3 linked regions of the Canis lupus familiaris genome follow. The protein of the gene in region 1 interacts with the protein of each later gene in a pairwise test. Links are inferred from orthologs where the notes say so. Each region holds a gene or a part of one and is shown in the gene's direction. Other genes may lie near its edges. The genes, in order: CREB3, TSPAN4 and CGRRF1.

Region 1 (3,743 bases):
CTAGAATCCCAGATACCTGCAATTCTAGTTGAAGCCCAGATCCCTAACCTGAAATGAGTTTATCCTATCTCTGGGCTAGAGAACCCCTGAAACTACGTAGGAATGAGACCTCCCTGCAAAACGAGAGCACCTACCTACTGCCAATCTCTTAAATTCAATATATCCAAGGTCAGCTACCCTAACCTCAGCCATAACCCCCATAAAACTAACCCTAATCCCTAATATTAACCCTGACCCTAATTTGGTTCCTGTTTCCCAACACTGGCTTTGACATTCATCCCTTTCCTGGCAGACACCCGTCCCCAATCCTTGATCCCTAATATTGATCTACTTTTTACCTCTAGGAATGAATTTCCTGACCTTAACTCTAAATGTTGATCTCTAAGCCTAAAACTGTTGTCTCACTTGACTTCTGATCCATCCCTTCGCGATTTATCCCTAGTTCCATGCTAATGTTCTCTAATCCCTAAAAAACTGGACTTCTAATTTAAATCCTGTGTTGACCCTTAAACCGGCCCTGAACCCTAACTTTGACTTACGTTGGCCAGAAACAGAATAATGACCTAATCCAAACTCTACCTACATAAAACGGACCCGACTCACACTGGTAACTCTAAATGTCAACTCCGGTTTTTAACTCCGTAAGCTAACCTTTAATTCCTAAACCCAACTCTACCTAATTCCCAAACTCACCCCCAGCTTTCCTACCCGCATACTCACTATCAGCTAACCTCAAAGCCGATCCCCGCCCTGCGCCTCACTGTCACCCAACTCCTCACCCTCCCCAAAACTTATTCCAGACAGAGAGGACTTGATCCCAGGAAAGGCTTGGCTCCCTTAAAACGACCTACTTAACTTCCGATCCCAAGCCGAGATACACTGGACGCTGACCTCTCCAACAGGACCCGAAACAGCGGACGCAAGGGCCCCGCCCGCCCTGCCACCCGCGCTGCCACCCGCGCTCGCGCTCGCTTCCCGGTCCTGGCCGTGCGGCCCCACCCTGAGGCTCCGGCTCGGCCCGGTCCGGCCTACCTGCGCTGCCCGGCTCGTGCCCCGCCCGCCGGCCCGATAACCCGCTCGCTCTCCCGGTGGTAATCGGGCTTCGGCCTCGCCCTCCCTTCGACACTCTCTCGGCCACTTCCGTCCCCGGAACGTCCCCCACCCGCGGGCGGCGCCCTGGGCCCGCGCTCTATGGTTGTGGGGGCAACAGGAAGCTGCTCTGGCCCCAGCTCTCGATGCTCGGGAGCCGGCCTTAAAAAGGCGCCCCCCCCCGCCCCCCGGCCGGCTCCCCCGGCAGGAAACAAGGGTGCGGCGCAATCCGGGAAGACGCCCGAACTGCGCGCGAGTTCCCCTTTGGTCTCTAACCCTTCCTTTTTTTTCAGCCTGGGGCCGAGGCGGAGGCGGCCTCCCAGATTGCCCGCCCTCAGGGTGTGAGGAGGCCGCAGGGACGTCCCCTCTATTTGCAGAGCTCCCGGGACGTGGCGCGCCGCGGCTAGGCCACTTCCGCGTCGGAGGGAACTCCAAATCCCGTGGTGCCTCGGGGGTGTGCGCGTCACTTCCGTGGTGTTGGAAGTTGCGGAGAATCGGGTCTTGGGGGCTGGTGCAATTTCAGAGCGACAGGTCCGGGCTTGCGGATAGGTCTCTCTGTACATCTTTCCGGTTGTTATCCGGTATGGAGCTGGCGTTGGACTTGGGTGACCAGGACCTGCTGGATTTCCTGCTAGAGGAAAGCGGCGATTTGGGGGCCGGGCCGCCGCTTTCCGAGGTGGGTGGGGGCTGCGAGCCGGGGAGGCGCGGGGATCCCGGGAGAGCGTTCATGGGGTGGTGGGTAGTTGATAGGTCAAGGCTTGTTTATTTGAACCCTGTGCAGGCGTTGAGTGAATGGGAGGCAGAGGATTTCCTGAGTTCCATGCTGAGTCCCCCAGCATCGTTGAACGTCCTTAGCTCCTCTGATTCCTGTCTCGTGCACCATGATCACACCTACTCTCTCTCACAACAGCATGTTTCCATAGATCTAGGTGAGTCTGAAATATGATGAGGAAGAAAGTGAGGTTTGAGGGGAGGAGAGGCTTCGTGGGTCTGGCTATTTATACTTTTCGTTTTGCAGATGGTGGGAGCTATGGAAAAGAAGAGGCCCAGACGACCCCACTGCAAGTGGAGGAGCCCGCAGAGCAGGTACTTGATTTATGGCGGGATCATTCCCACATTGCGCGGGTGGGGGCGGATTCCCCATTCCTTTCTGTCATCCCCTTGCAACTCTGCTGCCCACCTCCTGGTAACTAATCCCAGGAGATTGCTAGGCTGATACTGACAGATGAAGAGAAGAGGCTGTTGGAGAAGGAGGGGCTTACTCTGCATGGGACGCTTCCTCTTACTAAGGTAAGACTCCCATTGGTGGGAGTGAAGGCTGGAGGGATGTGTTGTGGATCCCAAGTGTGCACTTCTGTTAACTTTATGTCAGGAAGGACTGAGGTTAGAAAACTTGGCAAATTTGTTGGTAATAGGAAGCTGGAGCATGATGTTAATATGGTGGATGCAGAGGCAGATCCTGGTTTTGTGGGGCTCATACAAGTTTTGGTGTTTTCTTTGAGAAGAATTCAAAATCATCGATGCAACATTAGTGTAGGGTCTTGGAAGGGACTGTGCAAGCAAACTCATGGTAATCCACCTGTAGCTAAATGGTTAGAGTTCATCAAGGCTGGACTAAGTAATATAGCAAGAATAATTGTAAAATCCCAAGTTTTAAGTTTCAGGCAATGAATAGCAGCTTCACAAGCACAGTATTGTGGTACTGTTGTGAAACCAACACTACAGGAAGGTTGAGAGAATTTTCTTAAAAGTACAAGATGGGTTAGTTTGAGATGACAGAGAGTGGGGTTTGAAGGCTGTATCAGTAGAGGTGTTGCCTCTAGAAGGGCAGTGACCATCTTCTTCTCCATTATACTGGCCAGAGCACATCTTAGTGTCTAGTTTTGAACCCAGATCTTTGACAGATATTAAGAGGATGCAGTCCATCCCGAAGAGAGGTGAGAAGTTAATTTTTTTTTTTTTAAGATTTTACTTATTTATTCATGAGAGACACACAGAGAGAGGCAGAGACACAGGCAGCGGGAGAAGCAGGCTCTATGCAGGGAGCCCGATATGGGACTTGATCCTGGGACTCCAGGATCGTGCCCTGGGCTGAAGGGAGGTACTAACCTGCTGAGCCACCCAGGCATCCCGAGAAGTTAAAATTTTTGCCCAGATCTTTTAACTCTGAAGAAATGTTAAATGGCTTAAATTAAAGACTGTTCATTCTGGGATCCCTGGGTGGCTCAGCAGTTTAGCACCTGCCTTCAGCCCAGAGCGTGATCCTGCAGACCCGGGATCGAGACCCACAGCAGGCTCCCTGCGTGGAGCCTGCTTCTCTCACTGCCTGTGTCTCTGCCTCTCTCTCTCTGTGTGTGTGTCTCTCATGAATAAGTAATAAGATCTTAAAAAAAAAAACAAAAAAAAAACCTTCATTCTATATGGTCTCAGAGATAGGTACCAGGTAAGTTCAATTGATAGAAATCATAGAGGCAGATGTCGGTTAGCTTAGGATAAGGAAAATTTAAAGATTTTTTTTTAAAGGTTTATTTATTTTAAATCTTTTTTTTTTTATTTTTATTTATTTATGATAGTCACAGAGAGAGAGAGAGAGAGAGGGGCAAAGACAGAGGCAGAGGAAGAATCAGGCTCCATGCACCGGGAGCCCGATGTGG
Region 2 (3,743 bases), on another chromosome or scaffold:
GCATCCAGGGCATCTCTGTGGGTGAGGGGCAGATCACACCCGGTTGGGGCAGGCAGTCCTGGGCACACGGAGGACCCGAACCCTGCTGGAGCAAGCCCCCCCTCCCCGCCCCCGCGGAGGGAGCCGTCTCTCTGCCGTTTCCCAAGCCGATTAGAGTTGTCAGTGTCCCTGGGGCCCAGCCCCTGTTGCCCCAAGGGCTTCCAGAAAATCCCCAGAGCACTGCTCCGACGTGCAGCGCCGCCGAGCTGGGAAGCCGCAGGGCTGGGCGGTTCCTGCCCGGGGCTTCCAGGGCCTCCGGCCGGTTCCCTCACACTCGGTCTTTCCGACAGACTCCCCAGCAACCTGGCCTCCCCGCTCACCCCAAACGCCGCAGGCCGGGGTTAAAGGTGCAGACGCCCGCGAGGCCGGTGCTGACGCCCGCGCTGACGGGCAGCGACGGGAGAGCGGCCCCGGGACGGCCCGCTCCGCAGGGCTCCGTGGCCAGGAAGCCCGGCCCACGACCCCAGAGCCGCGGGCTCGCGGGCGCGGGGGCCTCCGAGGGCGGGAGGGCAGGGAGCCCCGAACTGCTCCGGGCAGGAGCCACGACCTGCCGGGGTCCGTGTGCAAGTCCCCGCGGTCCCGCAGTCCCGCTGCCCGCCTGCCCCCTTGCTCGCGGCCGGCACCTGGTCCCTCCGGGGCCCCCCGCGCCCCGCGCCCCGCCCCCCGCGCCCCGGCCCGACCCGCCGGCCCCGCGCCCAGCAGGGCCCCCCCCGCCCCCCGCGGCCCCGGCTCCGCACGCCGCCCGGCCCGGAGCCTCACCCCTCGGTGTACTCGGCCTGCAGCAGCCCCAGGTAGGCTTCCCACTTGTTGCCGACGATCTTGCCGCAGGTGAAGCAGCGGACCGGGATGATCATGGCGCTGGCGGCGGCGGCGGCGGCGGCGCGGGGACTGGCAGACGGGGCGGCGCTTCCGCCCGGGAGCAGGCCCCGCCGAGGGCGCGTCCATGGCGCGGGGGGGAGAAGTCCCAGTCCCGCCACGCCCCCGGCCGCCCCCGGCCCGCCCCCCGGCCCCACTGCCGCCGCCGTCCGTTCCCTGCCGGGCCGAGCTCCTTCCGCGCGGACCGGGGGCTCCGGGGCCCACGCGGCCGCTACCGGAGCAAGCGTCGCCCCCCCCCCGGCCCTTCGCCTTGGTACGTCCCGGCCTACGGCGGCCTAGCGGGACCGAAAGGGCCCGACGGCGGCGCTTCGCCTTCCTCGTGTCCGCATGACTGACAGCTGCGCGGCGGGCGGACCGCGCGCAGGTACAGAGCCGGTCCGCGGGGATGCGGCCGAGGTCCCGCCCCTCGGAACCCCCGACCGGGACCCGGACCCGAGCCGGGGCCGAGCCGAGCGGGCGCAGAGTTGGAGCCCCGAGCCGAGCCGCAGCAACAAGTGGCGGGGCCGGGCCGGGGCCGGGGGCGCGGGGACCCGCGGCGGGGGGCGGGGGCAGGGGGGCCCCGGAGGGACCTTCCCGCGGCCCCTCCCGGCCCGGCGCGGCGAAGGCTGTCCCCGCCCCGGCCCGGCCCGCTCGGCCGCACTGTAGCCCCGACGGCCGGCTCGGCCGCAGCTCCTGCCCCCCCAGCGCCCCAGCCTGCCCTCTGCGGCCCTGGGGGAAGGGCCTGGGGGTGCGGGCGGTCGGGGCTCTGAGGACTCAGAGCAGGGCGGAGGCTGGAGCGGGTGGTCCTGGAGGGCGGCGTGGAAGAGGCGCCCTGCAGAGCCCGCGTGTGTCGGGGAGCGCATTGATCCTGGCCGGGGGACCCCTTGGATAGGGCCCTGGAGGCCATACCTGCGGGCAGCTCTAGGCCGCGGGTTCGTGCCAGGGCTGGAGTAGGTGGTGGAGTCAGAGATGGTGGGGCAGCAGCCACAGAGGGTGGAAGGGACGATGAGGCTGTGTCCCTGGGGGCGGGGTGAGGTGAGCTCCTCGATCCGGGGGCCACGGGGGGGGGGTGTGTGCAGATCTGTGTGGGGGGAGGCAGGGAGGGCTCCCTGGAGGAGGCAGACTTTGGGGCTGTGGGGATGGATGTGTTCCAGAGCAGCGCCTGCGGGGGGGGGGGGGGGGGCGGGTGTCAGCTAGTCAGGTGGGCTGGGCATGAGTGGGGCCTGTACTCCCCACCCTCCCACGGTGGGTGGTGGATTCTGGCCTCAGCTTCAGGGAGGGAGCCTGAGGGTCCCCTGGGGCCTGGGAGGCGCTGGCCACCTCTGCCTGGGCCCTGGACAGCCTGCCCAGTGCATTTGTCATCCTCCACGCTGCCACGTGCAGAGCCACGAGAGAGGCCACTTCCCTTCCCAGCTGCCCCCCCACCCCACCCACTGGACGCACATCCTGTGCCTGGACAAGAGGGACAGGAGAGGGGGCCTGGAGTCACGGTGGCCTGGGGTCAGACCCAGGCTCCCCTGCAGAGACTATTGGCAACTGTGCAGGTGAGGGACACAGCGGAGGGGACCCAGGCTGTCAGCTGGGTGGAACTTGGGGAGCCGCTGGGGTGGAAGGCTTCCTGGAGGAGGGGCCCAGGGCCTGCCCCACCCATGCTCCTGCTGGGAGTAGTTGTTTACTCTGAAAGAGTGAGGGGAATGAGCCTCCCGCCTTGATCCAGGCCTGAGCCAAGTTGACATTCCTGGAATTCTGTGAGCTGTGTGTAGATTTGGGGGTGGTGGTGGCCTCTTCCTGGGCTCCTCCCTCCAGCTCCCTGATTTCCAAGGACAGACGGTGGGGAGCATCCCGGCTGCACCCTCAGCACAGGTGTGCCGGGACACCCTGTGGGGCCTTGGGTCCTCTTCTCTGTCTCTATCCTGCCTTCCTCAACCCTGCAGGACACTGGGGAGCCTCAGAGGTCAGCCCTGCCAGCTGCCTCGGCCCTGGGTGGCCTCTGTGTGTGTGTTGTGGGGGGAGTTGGGTTGGGCGGGAGGGAGCCCTTAGGGCCCCAGGCACTGGTGGGGAGGAGGGGTGGGGAGGGGAGCCTCGGGGGCCTGCAGGGGAAGGGGGGCCCTCACTTCTCCTCTCTGGTGCAGTGTCAGCACAGATGTGGCCCAGGCCTCTGGGGAGGGAGACTGCCAGCGTTTGGAGCATAGGGTATCTTGTGGGGGGGGCATAGGGAGGGAGGGAGGGCTGTGCCACATGTGGTTGGGAACCCGTGAGCCACGCTTCCTGCCAGAAAAGGGTCACTGCAGGGCAGGCAGGGGCGGAGGACAGCAGTGGAAGCTTCTGCTGCTGAGACGCTCCAGCCAAGAGCCCGGCCCAGTGTACAGGGAATCAGCCGACCCTGCCCACCAGTCCTGGCATCATTTCTCCGTCTGTAGAGTGTGGGTAGAACCTATAGCTGCCCAGCTGGAGGGACCCAGTCCTGGTAATGCAGGCCTGGCCCCTGCTCCTCTTGCTCTGGGCAGATGCAGATGTGCACTCACGGGGAGGGGGGGGGAGCGCTCTACAGGGTGGAGGGTCCCTGCACGGCCATGCGGCCATGCTCGTATGCCTCCTCTGGGTCACTCAGGGTCCCTTGCCTGCTGAGCCTGCACTAGCCCTGGGCCCTGGGGATTGAGGAGTCTTGAGTGACGATGTCTGCAAGCGTGCTTGAGGCTGTGGTGGCCCTGACCTAGTGACCCCTTGGACGAGCCCGGGCTCAGGGCATTTGGGAACAACACTGCCAGGCAGCCCTGTGGTCTGGGCCCCATGTGGTAGGGCTCTGGGGGAACCACACTGGCCTGGAGGTGGGTGGGCACACACTGGGT
Region 3 (3,743 bases), on another chromosome or scaffold:
CCATTCTGCAGCCTTCTGTCCCTTTCTTCCTTGATAACAAAACCCTGATTTGTAGCAGGGGGTGTTGCTGCTCAGAATAAAAAGACATTTCCCTGTCTCTGGGGTAACTGGATGTGGCCTAAGGGCTAAATGCAAACTGACGGGCTGTCAGTGGAGGTGTGAGAGACTTCCAGGGAGGCTACCTGGATGGAGGAGGCTGAATGGGGATGAGCATTTCACTCCTTTCTTTACCTAAAGGCTTCTGCTAGGTACATATATACCTTTTGAGCAGAAGCCTTTTATATATATATATATATATATATATAAATAAATAAGATATATATTTAAATATACATATAAATTAAGCCTTATATATAATAAGACATATCTAAAATTGTCCTTAAAGTAAAAATGAATACAGAAAAGCTCAAATATTGATGCGCCTGGGTGGCTTAGGTCATGATCCCAAGGTCCTGGGATCCAGCCACCCTTCTGGCTCCCTGCTCTGCTGGAAGCCGCCTTCTCCCTCTCCCTCTGCCTGCTGCTCCCCCAGCTTGTGCTCTCTCTGTGTGTCAAATAAATAAATAAAATCTTTTTTAAAAGTTCAAATATCTAATTCTAATTTGAGGAACGTAGGGGAAGCAGAAAAGGAAAAGGATGTGGGAGGACAGTTGATTTACGTCTGTGAGAATCTATGCTAATTTTCCTCTATCATGAAATCCAACTTGAAAAGGCGGACAAGAATCGTACACACTGCTTGTGAGACTCCGGTTGGTCTTTCGTAGTGTCTAATTGTAACTTTTCTAGATAAAACAAGAGCCGGTGCGGGGTTGCTTCACTTTGTAGAACCCATGACGCCGGCGGGTTCTCTTCTCCTCGTCCCAAATGTGCCACGGATCCAATATGCGGGATTTAGACTCTGTGACGTGGATTTCGGACCGTGCCTCCTCTCTGGGTCATCAGAAAACCTTACCTGAGCCTGGGGCGAAGCAGGCCGCGAGGGGTTATTTAGAATTTGCCGCAGAAAAGCCTTGACCCCACGGACAGACAGATGCTCTCTGGGTACCAATCCCGTGAGTCCAATCAGGGCACCGCCCCTCTGCCCAGCCAATGGCTCGGGACGAGAGCGGAGGGGCGGGGCCAGCCCTGCAGGCGCCGTCGTGATTGGCAGTCCGGCTCCCGCAGCCGGCGAGGTCGCCCGGACGCCTAGTCTGAGAACCCGGGGCGAGTGCGTATGTACAAAGTTTGTCAGCTCCGAGGCGCCGTAGTGGTTTCCCCACCCCCCACGCCCCCGCCGGGTGGGCGGGGCGGGGCGGGGCCGGGCCGGGCTGAGCGGCTGGGGCTCGGCTCAGTATAGGAGAGCCTGATGGCTGCGGTGTTTCTGGTTACGCTGTATGAGTATTCGCCGCTTTTCTACATCGCGGTGGTCTTTACCTGCTTCATCGTGACCACCGGCCTGGTATTGGGATGGTAAGTACCGCGTGGTTAGAAACAAGGGACGTAGGGGCGGACCGCTGGGGCAGCGGGGTCGCGGAGAACCGCGAGGGGGAGGGCATCGGAGCCGCGGGTGCTGCGGGGCTGGGGCTCCTGGGGCCGCGGGGGAGCCGCTGCCGCGAACCTCGACCGGCCCCCGGAGGACAGCAAGTTGCGGTGTGCACCTGCATCGCTGCTCCCTGCATCCCTGGGCCGTCCCCGTCGCTGCGGGCATCTGGGGGTGGTGCCGGAATGAGGTATTTCGCCCAGCTTTGTTCCTCAAAGAGAAGGCGGCCGGTGAGGGCCTGGTCCGGGCGTTGAGGTGTAGAGTGCTTGTCCAGCAGGCTTGAGTCCGTCACCTGCGGTGCAGCGCGCAGACCTGGACAGTGAACACAGTTGACTGTTCTGGGCAGAACCGAGCGCTTGGCCTCAGAGCTTTCAGCGCAACTTATAACTGAACTCCGTTACCGTGTGAGAATTGAATGGTTTCTAGATGCATTCCACGCCTTTAGAAGTAACATTTAGTCGATGGAACTGTGAAAGTCATAATTTCAGAGCTGGAAAAGACCTTTGAGATAAATCACATTGACGGGTAGGGGCAGTTTACCCAGTGGAGACCAGGAGAATGGACTGTTAGGTAATCCCTGAGCAGTTCTAGCTCAGAGACTCTAAAATTTCTCTCTCGAGGAGATGCCATCGTATCATGATTAGAGAAGCCTTATGAATGCGGCTATTTGAAACCGTCTTACTAATTCATCCACTGAGGAGAGAGACATGAGCTGGAATTTTTTTTTAAGACTTTATTTATTTATTCATGAGACACACACACACACAGAGGGGGGCGGGGCAGAGGGAGAAGCAGGCTCCATGCAGGGAGCCCGACGTGGGACTCGATCCCGGGTCTCCAGGATCAGGCCCTGGGCCAAGGCAGGCGCTAAACCAATGAGCCACCAGGGCTGCCCCTTGAGCTGAAAATTGAAGGATAAGGATTTTGAGAAATAAATAAAGTTGAGTGTGTCTGGTAGAGAATGGAAGGCATTTCAAGGATACAGCATGAGCTGGGGGGCAGAGGAAGCGTGTCAGTGAATAGATCAGCTGGAGTAAAACAAATTTAAAATATCCCTTGACGCATGTATGGAATTACTTTGCAGAAAGGAAACAAGCTTTTGTTAACTTCTGAAACTACATGCCATCTTTAGAAACTAAGCCCAGTTTTAATATTTCCATACCGCTCCTCACCCTGCCAGCTGTAGAGCAGAAAATTCCTTGTTTGTGGATGGATGGGAGAAGTTTGTTATTCTTGATCCATCAAATTTTATTGCTGTTTATTGTTCAGGAAAGTTTGCAGTTGGAATTTGCAACTTGGTTGCCCAAGTGAGTAAAGCAGTCTTAACACAGGGTTTCTTAATCACTATAATATTAGTGTTATTCTCTTAGAAGAATGTAAATTTTCCTTCATTAAGGAAAATAGGTAACTAGTTGATCATTGCATTATATCCTTAAATTTTAATTTTCTGTAGGCCAACTAACTAGATTTCTTAGATATCTATCTGTAGTATTGGGAAGAGGAAAATGAGTAAGGGCCAGAGTGATAATGATGGCGGCATCTGTGGATGAGGGTAGTCGGGTACCTCATGTTTGTAGTGGTTAAGAGACAGACTTTGGAGACAGTGGAGTCATACAGACCTAGATTCAAATTCCGGCTCTGCCAAGTTTAAGACTTGTTTTGAAAGCTTAATGATTACCTAACCACTCCATTTAGATATGATTTTGGAAGGGTGGAAGGCCAGGTTAATTGTAGAATTTTTGGAAGACTGGGCTAAGCATTGCTGAGGCCCCAAGACTATGTAAGTGCCAGTCAGTTTCATTCTGATTTGGGCCTAACCAGTTATCTTGAGCCTAACCCAACCATTCCCTTTACCGGAGTTAGCTTTGTCCATGTAGATAAGACATTCTACTAATGTTTATTTGTTAACTTAAGCCAAGGCAACAGAGTCATTGAGTAGAAACAAAGCAAACCATCTAGATCTCATATAAACAATTTTCTAATAGTGCCCCCAGACAGATGGTAAACCCATGAATCCACACTGTGCTTTTCACCCATGTCATTTTTCTTTTAACCTCCCCAAATATAATCCCTACTGGTTTTGTCTTCGCCATTATCTCAGTACTGCTCTGATTTTCTTTCCCACTGCTTCTTTCTACTGTTCTCCTTGTCTGCTTGCACTGTGTGGGAGTGGAGAAAGAATAGGAACATCTGAATATTGGAATCCCAATAGCAATAGCAAAGA

Evidence for each region.
Region 2: the proteins of CREB3 (region 1) and TSPAN4 interact in a two-hybrid assay, tested with the Homo sapiens proteins (2 studies listed by BioGRID and IntAct). The two-hybrid records come from large-scale screens. The link is inferred for Canis lupus familiaris from reciprocal best matches to the Homo sapiens genes CREB3 and TSPAN4.
Region 3: the proteins of CREB3 (region 1) and CGRRF1 interact in a two-hybrid assay, tested with the Homo sapiens proteins (2 studies listed by BioGRID and IntAct). The two-hybrid records come from large-scale screens. The link is inferred for Canis lupus familiaris from reciprocal best matches to the Homo sapiens genes CREB3 and CGRRF1.

The regions. Positions count from the first base shown.
Region 1 is NC_049232.1:52,553,968-52,557,710, forward strand, and holds the start of CREB3 (cyclic AMP-responsive element-binding protein 3), read left to right. Parts: upstream 1-1,276; 5' UTR 1,277-1,672; coding exon 1,673-1,765; intron 1,766-1,870; coding exon 1,871-2,018; intron 2,019-2,107; coding exon 2,108-2,175; intron 2,176-2,289; coding exon 2,290-2,379; intron 2,380-3,743. UniProt on the Homo sapiens protein: Endoplasmic reticulum (ER)-bound sequence-specific transcription factor that directly binds DNA and activates transcription. Plays a role in the unfolded protein response (UPR), promoting cell survival versus ER stress-induced apoptotic cell death.
Region 2 is NC_049239.1:45,634,099-45,637,841, forward strand, and holds the start of TSPAN4 (tetraspanin-4), read left to right. Parts: upstream 1-1,141; 5' UTR 1,142-1,279; intron 1,280-2,280; exon of another isoform or gene 2,281-2,438; intron 2,439-2,539; exon of another isoform or gene 2,540-2,757; intron 2,758-2,824; exon of another isoform or gene 2,825-2,848; intron 2,849-3,743. Other genes in the region: POLR2L (DNA-directed RNA polymerases I, II, and III subunit RPABC5), read right to left, coding at 1-15, 799-893. UniProt on the Homo sapiens protein: Structural component of specialized membrane microdomains known as tetraspanin-enriched microdomains (TERMs), which act as platforms for receptor clustering and signaling.
Region 3 is NC_049229.1:30,721,722-30,725,464, forward strand, and holds the start of CGRRF1 (cell growth regulator with RING finger domain protein 1), read left to right. Parts: upstream 1-1,280; 5' UTR 1,281-1,345; coding exon 1,346-1,449; intron 1,450-3,743. UniProt on the Homo sapiens protein: Able to inhibit growth in several cell lines.